Linked DNA regions of Drosophila melanogaster. The protein of the gene in region 3 purifies or fractionates together with the protein of the main gene of each other region. This does not show direct contact. Each region holds a gene or a part of one and is shown on either strand. Other genes may lie near its edges.

The links.
Region 1: the proteins of Prosbeta1 (region 3) and Rpt2 purify together in Drosophila melanogaster (affinity purification with mass spectrometry, with the first as the bait; one large-scale study listed by BioGRID). This does not show direct contact.
Region 2: the proteins of Prosbeta1 (region 3) and Prosbeta7 purify together in Drosophila melanogaster (affinity purification with mass spectrometry, with the first as the bait; one large-scale study listed by BioGRID). This does not show direct contact.
Region 4: the proteins of Prosbeta1 (region 3) and CG7675 purify together in Drosophila melanogaster (affinity purification with mass spectrometry, with the first as the bait; one large-scale study listed by BioGRID). This does not show direct contact.

Annotation. Positions count from the first base shown.
Region 1 is NT_033777.3:23,929,314-23,933,311, forward strand, and holds Rpt2 (regulatory particle triple-A ATPase 2), read right to left. Parts: upstream 2,246-3,998; 5' UTR 2,014-2,245; coding exon 2,011-2,013; intron 1,950-2,010; coding exon 633-1,949; 3' UTR 580-632; downstream 1-579. Other genes in the region: CG31142 (uncharacterized protein), read left to right, coding at 10-99, 202-579; CG13599 (uncharacterized protein), read left to right, coding at 2,400-2,681, 2,743-3,348; RpS19b (ribosomal protein S19b), read right to left, coding at 3,545-3,706, 3,777-3,998. UniProt on the Drosophila melanogaster protein: The 26S proteasome is involved in the ATP-dependent degradation of ubiquitinated proteins. The regulatory (or ATPase) complex confers ATP dependency and substrate specificity to the 26S complex.
Region 2 is NT_033777.3:5,356,499-5,360,368, reverse strand, and holds Prosbeta7 (proteasome beta7 subunit), read left to right. Parts: upstream 1-2,004; 5' UTR 2,005-2,293; coding exon 2,294-2,445; intron 2,446-2,512; coding exon 2,513-3,014; intron 3,015-3,085; coding exon 3,086-3,238; 3' UTR 3,239-3,357; downstream 3,358-3,870. Other genes in the region: Cerk (ceramide kinase), read left to right, coding at 1-390, 819-1,021, 1,082-1,211; CG1161 (uncharacterized protein), read right to left, coding at 3,789-3,870. UniProt on the Drosophila melanogaster protein: Non-catalytic component of the proteasome, a multicatalytic proteinase complex which is characterized by its ability to cleave peptides with Arg, Phe, Tyr, Leu, and Glu adjacent to the leaving group at neutral or slightly basic pH.
Region 3 is NT_033778.4:16,013,261-16,016,541, forward strand, and holds Prosbeta1 (proteasome beta1 subunit), read right to left. Parts: upstream 1,528-3,281; 5' UTR 1,437-1,527; coding exon 1,392-1,436; intron 1,329-1,391; coding exon 854-1,328; intron 786-853; coding exon 631-785; 3' UTR 545-630; downstream 1-544. Other genes in the region: CG8389 (uncharacterized protein), read left to right, coding at 1-276; Rrp42, read left to right, coding at 1,718-1,774, 1,832-2,028, 2,080-2,245, 2,300-2,770; EMC7 (ER membrane protein complex subunit 7), read right to left, coding at 2,879-3,004, 3,071-3,199, 3,265-3,281.
Region 4 is NT_033777.3:18,377,585-18,382,906, reverse strand, and holds CG7675 (uncharacterized protein), read left to right. Parts: upstream 1-1,728; 5' UTR 1,729-1,875; intron 1,876-2,170; exon of another isoform or gene 2,171-2,288; intron 2,289-2,552; 5' UTR 2,553-2,553; coding exon 2,554-2,694; intron 2,695-3,542; coding exon 3,543-3,681; intron 3,682-3,939; coding exon 3,940-4,670; 3' UTR 4,671-4,783; downstream 4,784-5,322. Other genes in the region: CG14309 (uncharacterized protein), read left to right, coding at 1-958.

The DNA.
Region 1 (3,998 bases), on a different chromosome or scaffold from region 3:
TAAAAAATAATGTCGGCACTTGGGGATTCTGATGATGAAACTGAGTTTAAAGAGATCAGCTCGACTAATTATCATCGTGTGCAGGAAAAGGTGGCAAAGGTAAGTTTAAAATGAATTTGGCGTGGCCAGCTTTCATGATGAAATCAGCTGGCTTTACATTGCCGAGTAAACACGACTTCTAAATACCCTTTCCCTATCAAGATAAGCTATGCAGATGGCGTTGCCGATGGCAGGGAAAAGGTCTTCCAAGAGAGCTTCGATGAAGGCTTTGAGAATGGCTTTAAAACTGGATTCGAACTGGCCAAACTGAGTGCCTTCTATGAAACCATAAGCAATGCGGCGGGAGCTGAAAGCTCCGAATGGAATGCAGAACGAGAAGCTTATCAAAAACTCCAACTGGCAGATGCAACAAATAAAGCACACTTCACATATTTGGAGCATCAAGGCGCTCCACTCAACGTTATATCCGAAAAACAAAAGACCTACGTGGACGACCTCCTAGGAAAACTGGCACAGCAACTCCCGGCAACTACGAATTTATTCACATCGGGGAGCGATTCTAGTGTTAATGTGGTTTAATGCATGTGTTTGGGAATTATCAAAATTAACTTGAAAGTATATCTTCGCGCGACTTATAAATAAAGACCCTCGGGCGTGCCCTCCTTCTTCCGGTACAAGACGCTCTCCTTTGACTTCTTGAAGTCCTCGTTGGTCACCTTCATGCGGCGTTCCCGCAGCGCCATCAAGCCAGCCTCTGTACAGATGGCCTTGATGTCGGCGCCGGATAGATCGTCCTTTGCCATGATCAGTTCGCTAAGGTTCACGTCCTCGGCCAGCGTCATGCGAGATGTGTGGATGGTAAAGATGCGGCGCTTGGTCTTCTCATCGGGCAGCGGGAACTCGATCTTGCGGTCAATACGACCGGGTCGAATGAGCGCCGGGTCAAGGGTCTCGATACGATTGGTGGCCATGATCACCTTGACATCGCCGCGCGAATCGAAACCATCCAACTGATTCAGTAACTCCAACATAGTACGCTGAATCTCCCGCTCGCCACCAGAATTTGAATCGTAGCGCTTTGTGCCCACTGCATCGATTTCGTCGATGAACACAATGGATGGAGCGTGCTCCTCAGCCACACGGAAGAGCTCACGAACTAGCTTGGGTCCGTCGCCCAGGTACTTCTGGATCAGCTCTGAGCCTACAACGCGCAGGAAAGTGGCCGAGGTCTGGTTGGCCACTGCCTTGGCTAGCAGGGTCTTGCCCGTACCAGGAGGCCCATATAGGATGACGCCCTTGGGTGGCTTGATTCCCATTTCCTCGTAGTACTCGGGATGGGTCAGTGGCAGCTCAACAGACTCCTTGATCTCCTGGATCTGAGTGTCTAAGCCACCGATATCTGCGTAAGTCTCTTGCGGAGCCTTTTCCAGTTTCATCACCGTGACCATTGGATCGGTGTCGTCGCTGAGAACTCCGACTACAGCGTGTACTTTGTGGTTGAGCAGCACGGAGCAGCCTGGTTCCAGCTGATCCTTGTCCACGAAGGACAGGATGCTAACATAGTGCTCGGAGCCCACCGATGTGGACACGATGGCGTGGTTGTCGTCGATGATCTCCTCCAGGTTGCCCACGGACATGGGGGTGCCGCGCAGATCGTCAACCTTAGAGCGCTCCTCCTCGTTCTTCTCGTCCTGGGGCTTCAGGCGCTCCTGGTTGCGGATGAACTCGTCCTCCATCATCAGGTAATCCTTGATGCGCTCCAGCTTGAGCAGCTTAAGGCGGCAGCGGGTGTGGGGCGTGACCTGGGGCAGCTTCATGGCCGCATCTGGACCCTTTGCGCGCCTCTTCTTCTTGCCAACGCGCGTTGGGATTGGAGGCTCGTACTTCTTCTTTTTATCCTTGTCATCTTTCTTTTCGCCAGCTCCCCCTTGAGCCGATTGGTTTTGTCCCTGCAAATGTATTGTTCCCGATCGTAAATGAGTTCAGGGTGTTCTGAAGGTGCTATTTTACCATTTTGTCTTGGTGCTTGCTGCTTTGCCGAACGTTTGATGAACTTTTTACTCTTTATTGTCGGCAACAAAATTACTAGTCATTCGCGTTAGCTGTGTTGCCGTACTATGGAAACATGAAGGTCTGGCAACTCTAAGGGTGAACAAATATTTTAAAAAAACGTGAAAATTAAAATAGGCAAGAAATGCTTAAGCAATCGGATTAAAACAATAGTAATGATTAACAACCAAAATATAAATGAATTCAAGACTTGAAAAAAGCAAATTTTAAAAGTCACTGTTTTATATACTTATCGATTACTGTAAACAAACTGAATGTTTCAGTCTGGCAACGTTTGCAATTAGTGCGAAAAGAGCATTTGTTTAAATTTGTTATATTGCGACCTTTTAATGGATCAAAATGTCAAGAATGTTGATCTTAAACTGGATAACATTGAGGTTCTGACCAGTGGGACAACAGCGGAGTTCGTGAATGGCATCCTGGACTTCTTGCTCTATCAACGCCGGCAAATCCCCTTCGTGTACAAAACATACAAATATTATGTGGATAAATGGTCAGATGCTGATGAATCGGGAGAATCCAAGGATCAGGAGTCCTTTGCTCATTACCAACGCAACCAGCAGCGCTCTAAGGCAAAGGCCACCAAGGAATCTATTAGTGACATGAGAGAGGTGAGGTTCCCCTTACATCCAGGACTTCTTTTGGTCTTTACTTGCCAGTTCTCTCCTACAGATCATCCGACAAGCCTTCAGGAGCTCTGAAGTGAAGAGCCTGCGATTTCTTTTTGGCAACAATATGTTCATGCCCTCGGAGGCCTATACTCTGCACATACCACATGATTCCATATCCAGAGATCACTATTGCGAGCACCATGCTCTGCCCGAAGGTCGCATCAACCAGGCGCTGCTCCGCCTGCTCACCTGCGAGGAGCTGTACAGGCTATTCTCCACCGAACTAAAAGTCACCAACGTGTTTCTAGAAATGGAGCTCCTTACAGACTCCGATCGACCCCAAGGATCCCATTGTGACTCCTTTAATCTAATCCCAAAGCATATATTAAGCCAACTTCCGCGCAGCTGCAAGAACATACACCTGCATCTACTGCATTGCAGTGAAAACACACCGAATGAATTACGCTGCTGCAAGGAGATGGATATTTACCACGATCTTGGCGTGCGGAATCTGGATAAATCTGGGGAAGACGTTAGCCAGACCAACGAAGAGCATGACGTTTTGAAAGCAGCAAATGAAACCAGCGGTTGGTGGCAGGCCGAGGTCATAGTTCGCGGTTTCAGAGCTCCTGGCAACCAAAAATCGGGAGATTTGTGGTCTAGCTAACATTTTATAACTTGGATTCTTGCTATTCGGCGTGTTTGTGTCAAAAATAAAGTTTCGAATCGTTTATATTTCAAGTATTAAGTTATTTTATTATGTATATAATTGTTTAATTTTATTTTTGGTTTCGATTTATTGAGAATGTTTTGAAAACCCAAGGCACTCAAAGATGATCCATCGTGGTATTGGTATTATCATCTTAGGTAGTGATAATCATGGAAACTGGTGCACTGCGCTCTCGCTGCTTGGCCACAATCTTGTTGGCTATGCGATCCAAGTTACGTTGTCCTTGCGGAGTCAGCTTACGACCACCATCCGGGTGCCTCTCCACCATGTTAGCAGCTTCCAAGGCTTGAAGAGCCTGCTCATGTGTTAGATACATGCTAAGTAATATTAAATATAACCTTAAAGTACAACCATTTCCCACTCACCTTGCGAATACAGCCATCCGATGAGCGACAGTGCTTGGACGGACGAACACCGTTGCGCTTGCGCCCGCTATAGACCTTGGTGAAGGCCCCAACGCCGGCGGGACTGCGCAGGTACAGGTGTCTCATAATAGAGGCGCAGCGAGTGTAGAACCAGTCGTCGTCGGTAGGAGCAGTCTCCTTGAACTTGCCAGTCTTCATATAGACGGCCTGTTCGGGCACAAA
Region 2 (3,870 bases), on a different chromosome or scaffold from region 3:
AGCATACAGGAACAGCGATCCTCATTGTTCATCCAAGAGGAATCTAAAGAGGCAGAGCGCAATCAGCAGGTAGAAACAGAGGACTCTCATCTAGCCGCCAGTGAAGCAGCACTCCTGAGGCCTCGTCCGCGTCCAGGCAATCTTCGATTGCCCACTGGCTCCATTTCATCAATGAGGAACCTCGGCAACGATCAGTGGAAGGTTGTGCGGGGCAATTTCTTTATGATCTGCGGCGCGAACATAACCTGCGCCTGCGCCAGGAGTCCCAATGGCATCTCCCGTTACAGTCATCTGGGTGATGGTTGCCTGGACCTGATTCTCGTGAAAAAGACCTCACTGCTCAACAACGTGCGTTTTCTGCTCAACACGGCGGGCAGAAGTGGTGATATTGTGAGTACTAACTATTACAACTATTCAACTTTCACATCCAAAAGAACACCTTTCCTATAAGAGGCGTCCATTTCCTTTGAAATAACATTTCCATAACATTTTAACTGCATCTTTAATTGCCAAATCCCCTAAGCCTACAAGCTGAGCTTAGTGCTTTCTATCCTAAAAGCCAAAAACCCAAAACCGAACCCCATCTAGCTCGGATTGAAGCGAGGGAAATCTGTGACAGAAAGGTTATTTTACGAAGATCTACTAGCCGCTCTGGTGGCATCCATATAAAGTATATACTTGACCAGTTTCAACAATATAATGTTTTATCTAGTGAATGCGATGGTATCTTTTACTGTAAAAATATAAATGAAAAATAAAAGGATACAATTAAATTTTGTAGAAAACAATAAATATTTAAAAACATTTTCCCATTGCAGCGCAATTTGCCTTTTGTAGAGGTATATCGCACAAGGGAATTCCGGTTCAGAACTTTTTCTGCCAGCGAGGAGGACTACAGCTTGGCAGGGTCTTGTCAGCCGATTACACCGCCTGAAGAAATGACCGCCCACTCCTCCTCGACGGAGTTTTCCAGCTGGAACTGTGATGGAGAGGTGGTGACCGACCTGGACATAACCATGCGGTGAGTTGGTTGTACCTTTAACTTCAATAAATCGCTTATTAACCGTTCCGTATCTGGCAGATCGCATTGTCAGCTCATCGAGGTCTTCATGCGGGGTCCCCATTCCTACAGCAAGCCCCTCAAGGGCGGCACCACGCCCACAACCCCAGCTAGCTCTAGCGACAATGTTTACTGCTGCTGCAAGGACTAGAAGCTTTAACCCCATAGAATTAGCATCAATCGTTGGCCGTGACATGTAGCTCTTAGTTTTGCGTAGGGTATCCTTATTCGTATATGTATCGTGTTAAAGAGCGGGTCTCCCCGTCATTGTTTTTAGCATAGCTCAATAAAGCAACTGATATTATCGACTGTATTATGGCATCTGAAAGATGCGGCAGCAACCTAAACATTCCCCTCGGAAGCATTATGCACATACCTATATATTTACAAATTGTGTACTGGTATACTGGCAATAAAAATGTATTTATATGTCTTCAAATTTATAATTCTTTATTATTAATTTATATGATCAAATGTTATGATAAAAAACTTCGTTGGGTTCCCAAAAACAACAATCCGGAACATGTGCGTTTTTCCCACCAATATGAATAAAAGCAGAAGTTTTAGCAAAAGAACCTTATTCCGCTTAAAAAGCTATGGAGAATCGTGTTCGAAGGGAGAGAAGGGAGATATTGGATTTGTAGATTGACCAGGATAATTTCCAAACGTCATTTACATTTATTGCTCTCGATTCTTATACTTTAATGACCATTGAACGGCTTAAAATGAAGTAAAGCAAATGGTCATTATATATTAACTAAACATATATTTAGTTTCAAGGAGTAGTAAATACCGTAGAAGCAACGGGTATACATGAGTCTTAATCCTAATTGAGTGAAAAGTTCTTTAATTTCTTATCTTTCTTCTCCTTGATTTGTATTATCAACGAGGATTATAAAGACAAAAGTAAAAAAACAAATTCAGTATAGGCAGCGTGGTGTTAACTGTTTTACATTACTTTTAACATCAACATCTAATAAAATGTTAAAAAGTTCACAATTAAACTTCAAATTAATTTAATTTAACACATGTAAAACGGTGTGACCAAGCTAATAGTGGATTCATCTTTGGTATGTCTGGTATTTTTAGCTACCGGTTGCCGATACTGGTATTGCCGCCCGCCTAAAGTCTGTTCACACTGCGCTGACTCTTGATTTTATTTGTGCCCGTCATTCTCCGGCAGCGACAAACATTTCAAAGTCTCGCGTTATTCCAGTCTCCGAATAAATTAGCATGTTGAACAACTACAACAGCCTAGCGCAGCCCATGTGGCAGAACGGACCCGCTCCCGGCGAGTTCTACAACTTCACGGGCGGACAGACGCCGGTCCAGCAGCTACCGCGGGAGCTGACCACAATGGGACCCTATGGAACCAAGCACAGCACGTAGGAACTGCGGATATGTTTATATGCAGATGTACCACTTGTTTACACTCCTTTTACTATTCCGCAGTGCTTCCAGCACCACGGGCACTTCCGTGCTTGGCATTCGCTATGATTCAGGAGTGATGCTGGCCGCCGACACCCTGGTGTCTTACGGATCCATGGCCCGCTACCAAAACATTGAGCGCGTCTTTAAGGTCAACAAGAACATCCTGCTCGGCGGGAGCGGCGACTTCGCTGACATCCAGTCCATCAAGCGCAACATCGACCAGAAGATGATCGAGGACCAGTGCTGCGACGACAACATCGAGATGAAGCCCAAGTCCTTGGCCAGTTGGATGACCCGTGTGCTCTACAACCGTCGTTCGCGGATGAACCCCCTCTACATTGACGTGGTTGTCGGCGGCGTGGACAACGAGGGGACTCCGTACCTGGCCAACGTGGATCTCCGTGGACGATCCTACGAGGACTACGTGGTGGCCACTGGTTTTGCCCGCCATTTGGCCGTTCCGCTGGTCCGTGAGAAGAAGCCCAAGGACAGGGACTTTACCGCCGTAGAAGCTTCCGAACTGGTAAGGAATTTCGAACTCTGATGGGGGGACTCTTCATTATTTAACTACCCTACCATTTTCTTATATTCTAGATCCGCACATGCATGGAGGTGCTTTACTACCGCGATACTCGTAATATTTCCCAATACACTGTGGGCGTGTGCAGCGTCAACGGATGCGGCGTGGAGGGGCCCTTCCAAGTTAACGAAAACTGGACATTCGCCGAAACCATAAAGGGATACTAGAGCCTCCGATTCTGAATGAACTTAGTTTAGGTCTAGCTCGGCGGTTTTGCATTAAAAAAAAACACTTGTCTAAGGATATGTGGTTACATGATTTATTAAAAATAAATGTGGCTGAAAATAATACGTTTAAAGTTATGGTTATTGTGTGATAGAAACTATCTTCGAGTTATTCTTTCGTTAATCTCTACTGATGGAATCAAAAAGTAGGCGTCAAACTAAGAAGCCCAAGGGAGTTTCCAAATCTAACTTGGACTCACCATTACGGTCTTACGTTCCTTATTTTCCCAAATTATAACCATCAATTATCATTAAAAGTTTTATTTTAGTGGATTTGTTGGTTATTCCTCCCGGCATTCAACTTATTAATTAATATGCAAACACTCCTGACAAACATATTTTGGTTTATTTTAATTAACATAAAATCTGGCTAAATATACAGATAATCAATTTGATCCAAAGGGGAATTTCGCAAAGGATAACTGCTTGGAATACGTGTCTTAAGTCGCCCATGCGCCTCCTAATCTCCGCCAGCTGCAAACCGAACCCCTTGTTAGTTTAGCATGGTATGCCTGTCGTAGATGTGGCGTCTCTGCTCGCGCACCTGCCGCTTCCACTTGTCCTGCTGGTGGCCC
Region 3 (3,281 bases):
CATTGCCGCTCGGAAAAACTGGCCGGCGGTCTGGGTCTGAGCATGATGTCCAAGGGCGTTATTGTTATCACAGTGGGCCAGCTGCTGGGATGGGTGCGAGACTACGCCGACTCCTACCTAATCTGCCTTTATGCTCAAGGAGTCATTCTGCTGGTGGTGGTTCTTGTTTGGACACCGGAGATATTGTACCGCCACCGCAGGCAGCGATGTGCCACCAACAAGTCCATGGAGACGCAGTCTATAGACGCAGCTGAAGTGGCCAAACTCAACTCCTAAATCTCTGGTCACTACCTGACTGGATAAGAGTTTAAGCGAAGGATATCGGTATTGACTGTCATGTGATAGGCGATGAAATGACTTCCCCGTAGGGAACATTCCACTCTCGCCGCAGTAGTTATCTGAGTTGTGAGGAAGGACCAGTGTCAGGAACAGCACTATCTGTATGACTATGCATCTTAGGTTTAGGTTTTCGATTATTTATTACCATTTTAGCCCCTAGACCTAACTTTTGTACTGCCATAAGAGCCAAAATACAAATTAAAGTATGCATATTACAAAAACCAGGTTTATTAGCATGAGACGAGTTTGCAACTCTTTCTCTGATCGATCTTACTTGGGTAGGTATACTATTTATTCCGAGGAAATGAAGCTGGGAGTGCTGGAAACAGCCGATGCGCCCGATTCTGTGTTGTAGAAGATGCGTCGCTCGATGCCATCCTTGGTGATGATGCCAATGCGCACCACACCACCGGAGCTGCCATCGTGGTAGATAGCGTGCTGGACAGCTGTTGGAGGAGGTTTAAATGGGATTCGATTGAAGGGAAACTGTTTTGGTTTTTTTGGGATTACCTACCCTTCTTGACGAATGTAACGCAATCCTCCAGCGCCATATTGGGGCGGTAGTGCTCCCTAACAAATCCGTAGATAAAACTAGATCCCGATCCGCCGATGGTGCAGGACTCGCGGGTCAGCATGCCGCCCAACGGGATGCTGTACACCTGGCCGCCGCGCTGCTCATCCCACCCAGCCACAATGATGCCGGCAAGCAGGGACTCGCGGTAGCTGTAGCAGTAATTACGGAACTCTGAGGCGGCCTCGAACACCAGAGCATCCTTGTTGGTCTGATTCTCGTGATAGTTCAGCGAGTAGGCCACAATGTCGGCAATGGCCTGGGTGTCGGCGGCCGAGCCACTGCGGCAGCAGTACACTTTGTCCGTGATGCGGGTCAGCTTGTCGGTGACCCGATTGGCAACATAGGCGCCCGAGCTGGTGCGCGAATCGGCTCCAATGACCACTCCGCCATCGAACTCCACTGCCATAATGGTGGTCTGCAAATAGGTAGGATTGTGCTCTTAGTACGAAGTTATGTGGCTGATGCTCTTCATACTTACACCAGTGCTGACCGGTGTGTCGGTGAAATCAAAGTCGGGCTGCATATTGATCTTTAAATTTGTTACAATTCAATTTACAATTGATATTTGTTGAAACGCCGCACGAACACGAAATGACTGGCTTGTTTTGGATAAGTGTTACCAGATGGCGATGTGAAATGAAATGCTTCAAATGAAAACATACACCTTTCGCACTGACAACAGTTCAGTAAAGTAAAAACGAAGTGCCAGCAGCCCTGCTTTGCGGTATATCGATAGTATCGATGTGGGTTCATTGCACATGTTGAATTTGTTTTGAATATTTGTTTTCTTGAATTAAGTCTAAAATGGCATACGTTGCACTGAGCGAAGCTGAAAAAACATATATTCTACACGGCGTGGAGGTGTGTTAAACGGTTATGCAAGAAATATAGTCTGTACCTTAAACTATGCGTTTCCAGGATGACTTTCGTTGCGATGGACGTTCACGACGAGATTACCGGCCCATGGACCTGGAAACTGGACTGGTTAGCAATGCCAGTGGATCCGCTCGCCTTCGGCTGGCGAACACAGACATACTGGTGGGCGTCAAAACCGAGATTGATGTACCCAACCCGCTGACGCCCGAGTTTGGTAAACTGGAATTTTTTGTGGATTGGTAATGATGCAACTGAAGTTCGAAGAATATGCCATAACATATATATTTCAGCTCTGCTAATGCCACGCCGGAGTTTGAAGGACGCGGGGGCTCGGATCTGGCCCAAGAACTTATTCTCTCCCTGCAGAACGCCTACGAATCGCCATTGGCCTTCAACTACCGCACGTTGTGCCTCATTCCGGGTCAGCAGTGCTGGAAGCTGTACATAGACATCCTGGTTAGACTCTAGTGTGCTTAATTATACCGAAAATGCTAATCCCTGTTCTCGCAGATTCTGGAGTGTGGCGGCAATCTACACGACGCAGTGTCGCTGGCCGCCAAAGCGGCTCTGTTCAACACAAAGCTGCCCCGGGTGACAGCCACCATGTTGGATGCCGGCATCACAGACCTCATCATATCGGACAATCCGTATGACTGCACCCGCATCGGCATCGAGACGGTTCCGCTGTTGGTCACAGTTTGCAAGATCGGTGATTATGTCCTGGTGGATCCTTCGGCGGAGGAGGAAGTCTGCAGCACAGTGAGCATGGTTGTGTCAGTTTCCATGCGGAATGGACAGGCATTCCTTTCGGGTACACACTTGACCGGCGGCGGAGCCATGCACCGGGACACCATGCGCAACTGTCTGGAGCTGGGTCTGGCCATTGGCGAGCATCTGGACCGGCTGCTCACTAAAATGCTAAATCTGGAGCAGCAGCGCGTCGGACTCAAGCGACCGCAAATAGTAGGATTTCTTAAATAAAGCGGCAAAGTCTTGTAATGAAAATTTACTATTTAAACGATCTGACTCTGACTTGGAGCTCGGCGCTCCGATTAAGCTTAATACTAAAAGCTATCTGGTGGCCAACTACTACTGGTCCTTGCGCTTCTTCGCCTGCCTGACGGCCGGAGCAGGCTTCTTCTCCTTGGGCTCGGGCTGCTTGCCCGTTAGCAGTGAAGTCAGCATTTCGCTGATCTCGGGCATATCGTTGCCCATCTGTGGAGCAGAGCATGATTCATATAATACTATAGTGCTGTGCTATACATGATCCTCACGGCTTACCTTTGGGAACTGCAGATTGTCGATCTCCTTCTTTGTCTCGGGATCGTTGATCATCTTGGGCAGCACCAGCATAAGGAGCAGAGGCAAGACCATCATTAGGACCATGGGGCTGAACAAGAAGTCGGTGATCTGTGTGGGTCAAGAGCAAAAGTTAGTTTTGTGATTCTTCCGTTGGTGGCAATATAATGATGCACCTTCCACTGCTCTCTGG
Region 4 (5,322 bases), on a different chromosome or scaffold from region 3:
TCAGCTAAAGATCATTCAAAGGGAGGACAAAGAGGATGAACAGGAGCAGGAACCGGAGCAAACAGAAGGGCGTCCCAAGTTGCGTCTACTGCCCACGGAATTCTTTGAGGCCCTACCAGCTCCCAAGCAGAACAAGCGATTAAATCTGGGAGCCACCTTGAACTCACTGCTATTTCCGGAACCCTTCTCCAGCAAGGCCACCATGGCCAAGGCTAGTCTGTCCCAAAAACCCAAGTCTGTTGAAGAGTCCGAGCCCGAGGAGGATGTGCAACCGGTGCCAAGTGCTAGAAGGCGTCACTCCAGGCTAGGTCACGTGGCCAACGACTTTTTGCAGGCCCAAAAAGAGCTTGGAAAGCATTTCCTCAGCCACATCAACGAGCATGAACACGAGTTTTCTCTAGGAGATGAGGGCATGCGGGAAAGTTCCCTGGAGTCGGCGAATGTCGGTAGGAAGTCCCTCATACAGGATCATTTTGAGGGAAAGAAGGCAACGCCTACTCTTCATTCGAAATTGCCTCAAAAGCCAGCCGATGAGGGTATCACTTCCTGGTGGGATTTACCAGCTATGAGAAGGCGGCGTGCCGTACTTAACACTAATTCCCTGGCTGAACTGCCCTCCAATGCCATAGACAAGGCAGATCGCGATGAGATGATGCCGCTGGGAAGGTACACCTACTACGAGTACAAGATGGATCACGAGGCAGAGAAGGATGCCAGCCAGCCCAGGGAGGAAAAGGAATCCAAGATCATGAGGATCAGCAGCAAGAATTCGCTGGCCTCTGGTCGTAGTCTGACTAAACTCTCCGAAAGCCTCGTGAGCACTATGAAATCAAAGGTATCTCGCTTCATCAACATCATATCCAACCATATGAACGAATGGTACAACACCTTAACCAAGCACTTGGAAACGGATGCGGAAACCCAACCACCCCGCCGACAAAACAGCATTGAGAAGTAGAATGACTTATATTACCATATGACCTTGTTTAAACTGCCAGCATTATAACCGAATGTAAATATATATTTATTTTCAAACATTACTGCATTCAAAGGAATTATATTTGAGCGATAATTCTAAGGGAATTATATTTTTCAAATAAAGCTATATACAGGACTAAGGCAACGAACTAGACGGGCTTAGACTAAGCTTGTGGTAGATTGTTGAGCATTCTTTATTGTACTTGTGAATATGTCATCTCTATAATAAAATGCATTGAATTGAAAAGAATGTTGATATATTTCAGTGGTATCTCGGTTAATGATATATGAAATGAAAAATAAAATAGATTTTTATCTGACATGTTTATACAATTACCCGTAGTACTTCAAATAGTAATAAAGTCTTGGTCATTAAAAAAGTTAATTACTATCCATTATTATTTTCTACATTATTTCAAGCTCATCATTCGAGCTGCATAACTAGAAAAGAAGCTTTGCGAAGCCCCCGACAGGTGGCTTTCTAGACACACTTTCTTGGAATCCACTACCCAGATCTTTCTCTTACCGCTGGTAACTATGTATTATAGTTTGGCTCCACTCTGTGCTCGCTCTTTCGCTGCGAGTGAACCGTTCATGAAGACGATCCCAAAGAGGAGCCCGGAAAGCCGCTTGGCTAACCTGTTACCATGGCTATAAGTGCAATAACAAAATCACCGCGACCACGGCAATACCAAACCGGTGGAGACGATCGCGCATTCTCCGCAGCCTCGGCTTTATAATCGGAATTCCGACTTCAGTCTCCGATTAGTCGTTCAAGGCGAAGGTTGTGGCACTAGCTCTTGGATCCACCAATTCCATTTCGCAGCGCAGATATAGTCCAAAGTGCAGGTCAGCAGAAGTTGGAATAAATTATAGATCAGCCAACAGCCAAAACAGGTGAGTTTGCACTAAAAAACTCGTCTCCGACTGGCAAAAGTTGAGGAACAAAACCCAAAAACGGGTCACTTCTAGACTTTTTCATACATCTATAGATCTTGTTTCTTTTCGAGACTGCATTGTAGGGCGTGGTTCGGTTGGGGGGGTTCTTAAATGGTGCATGCAAGCGTAACCAGAGCCAGTCTTCGAGTCTTGAGGAAAGCTCTTGGAAATCTTTGTGACGTGGACGGTGGGGGAAAAAAAAAACAAACAGAGAAGAAAAAACCAGAAACTCAAAACGACATGAAACTTCAGACTTTCTTTCTTGTTCAACCTTCTTTCGTTTGGGCTGTCAATGAACTTGGTTGAATGTTATTTTTTTCGGCGTTTCATCATAATAAGCCATAATTACGCACATGTGTGAAAGTGAAAGTGTAAGTTTTCTCAACAGTTTTCGAAATTGATTTATTGACAGTCACTGATAAACGATTTGAATTGTGAAAACCTTCGCCGACTAACCAATATCCCCAAAACCATGAAACCCCAAAACCCAAAACCAAACTCGTTTCGTTATGCCCTAAGACAATCGTCTGGCTTTGGCAGCTTCGGTTATTATATAATCTGATTTGCATGTTGACACCGATATATACGTATATGAAGATACAATATATAGTATACACACCTCGGCATATTTGTAGGATGGGTTTCATCTTCGGTTGGCTGTCGACCGAGCACTATGTGCGCGACATCTTCCTCATGACTTCAGTGGCCGCCATAGTGGCCACCCTGATGAGCATTCGGTTCTATCTGCGCATCACGGCGGGACGATGTTTCACCGAGGTAACGAACGCACCTCACCCAATCCAAAAAACCAAGTCCCATGCTCCCCAGAATCGCGACACGACTCGAATATTTCGCACTTTATATGGCTGTTGCTCCCACTTCCGCTGCGAATTCTTTTCAGATCTTGTAGATGAGCTGTCATATACATACAAATGATGGTGGGATAGTTTACTAAAACAGTATTCGGACACGACCTTAAGCTTATTAATCGCTCAAAACTTTTACAAATTTTATATATTCATATAAATGCGAACTATTCAGATAAACATTACAGATCCATAATTGAAAATGGTTCAGCTTACCGCTCTATAGAAAACTACATATATCACTATCTGGAAAAACCCCATATAATTAAAACGATTCTGTAGCATTCCAAGCATTCCGACTATGGAAATCTTTTAACTATATATGAAATCACCACTAGGAAAACTTAACGTGTTTCAATCTTGTTATTACATTGGTCAGTTGTGACGCGTCGACTTAATTACAGATTAAATTAGATACCTTCTGAGAGGCGAGGTACGTCACATCTCTGAGCTACGATTACCACCTGACCGAACATTGTTCGTATCCCACAAAACATCTAAGCTTCTGGGTATCTCGGTTACAATCTGTGAGATCGCTTACCTCTGATTCACAGAAAGCTCTCAGCACTCGAATGGCAATTAAGCGACCCGTTAATGGGTCTGAAAACTAAGATAGCTTCCGTTCCAGACGAACTGCGATTACTGTGACTGTGAACAAGCGCCAACTAATTAGTATTGTAAACATATTTTCGAACCGCCCTCGTCCAATTTTCGATTGCAGCGCCGTATTAAATGATTAACCTTCGACATTGATTACAGACAAAGATGGAGGGCAAGACAGTCATTATCACAGGCGCCAACAGCGGAATTGGCAAGGAGACGGCCAAGGATCTGGCTGGACGTGGAGCCCGCATCATCATGGCCTGCAGGAACCTGGAGACTGCCAATGCAGTGAAGGGTAAGTGGACCAAGACAATGCCTATGAGGTTATGCCAAGGATCTGGCAGGACATGCAACACGGTCAAATTCCGATAACTGGTCTCATCCAGTTGATTATAGACTCTGGCAAAAACTGCTTACTACCAATGATCTTTTTTTATTAAATATTTACGTTGTAATTACTTTAAAGAAAGTATCTTATAATATGTTGGCGTTGCATTAACCATGTTTTTTTTTACATAACCGAATTTTGTAATTTATTGTTGATTTCCCACAGATGAGATCGTCAAGGAGACGAAGAACAACAAGATCCTAGTCAAGAAACTGGATCTGGGCTCCCAGAAGTCCGTCCGTGAGTTCGCCGCTGACATTGTGAAGACCGAGCCCAAGATCGATGTGCTTATCCACAATGCCGGCATGGCTCTGGCCTTCCGCGGACAGACGAGTGAGGATGGCGTGGAGCTGACCATGGCCACCAATCACTATGGACCCTTCCTGCTGACGCATCTGCTCATCGATGTACTAAAGAAGAGCGCGCCGGCTCGCATAGTCATCGTAGCCTCGGAGCTGTACCGCCTGTCGTCGGTTAACCTGGCCAAGCTCAATCCCATCGGCACTTTCCCGGCTGCCTACTTATACTATGTGTCCAAGTTTGCGAACATCTACTTTGCCCGGGAGCTGGCCAAGCGGCTGGAGGGCACCAAGGTTACAGTGAATTTCCTGCATCCCGGCATGATCGACTCGGGCATTTGGCGTAACGTTCCCTTCCCCCTCAACTTGCCCATGATGGCCATCACCAAGGGATTCTTCAAGACCACCAAGGCCGGCGCCCAGACCACTATCTATTTGGCCACATCCAATGAGGTGGCCAATGTGTCTGGAAAGTACTTCATGGACTGCAAGGAGGCCACCCTTAATGCTGCTGCCCTCGATGAGGAGAAGGGTCTCAAGATCTGGGAGGAGTCCGTGAAGATTGTCAAGCTTACGCCCCAGGATCCCAAAATCTAGACGGGTGTCTGCGGCTGAGAGCCAACGCACAATTTACTGATTTACTTTTCTTGTTTTTAAGGGGGAGTTTACTGTAGCCTAAGTTTTCTCAATAAAAATGATTTTGTATAATTAAATGTGGCTCGTTTTCAATATGATATATTTGCTGTCAGAAAAAAAAGCACATCAAATTTCTGACTATATATAATATATTACAAAGATCTTGGTTGTTATATCGGTTGCTCGTGAGTAAAAGGGTATACTAGAATCAAGACTAGAATATAGTCTGGATCAAGATCAATAGCCGAGTCGATCTGGCCATGTTCCTCTGTCCGTCTGAATGTCGAGATCTCAGGAACTTTAAAAGCTAGAAGGTTGTGATGCAGCATACAGATTCTAGATACATAGACACAGCGCATTCACACTAACTGAGCAACGGGTATCTGTTAGTCGGGGAACTCGACTTCTTATTGGCACAGGATTTCGGCTTGGATTTGCAAGGGGACCGTTTTTGTATTACATGTAATATATATTGACAGTCACTCGATAAATCTTTTGCTAGGTAACTAGATATGACAATTCTGACAAGTTTTGAACTTTTCAACTTATTGCTTCTCGTTATTTATTTTGTAGCTGCAGCTTCTTAGTCAAATGATCTTTAAAAAAGTTCTTC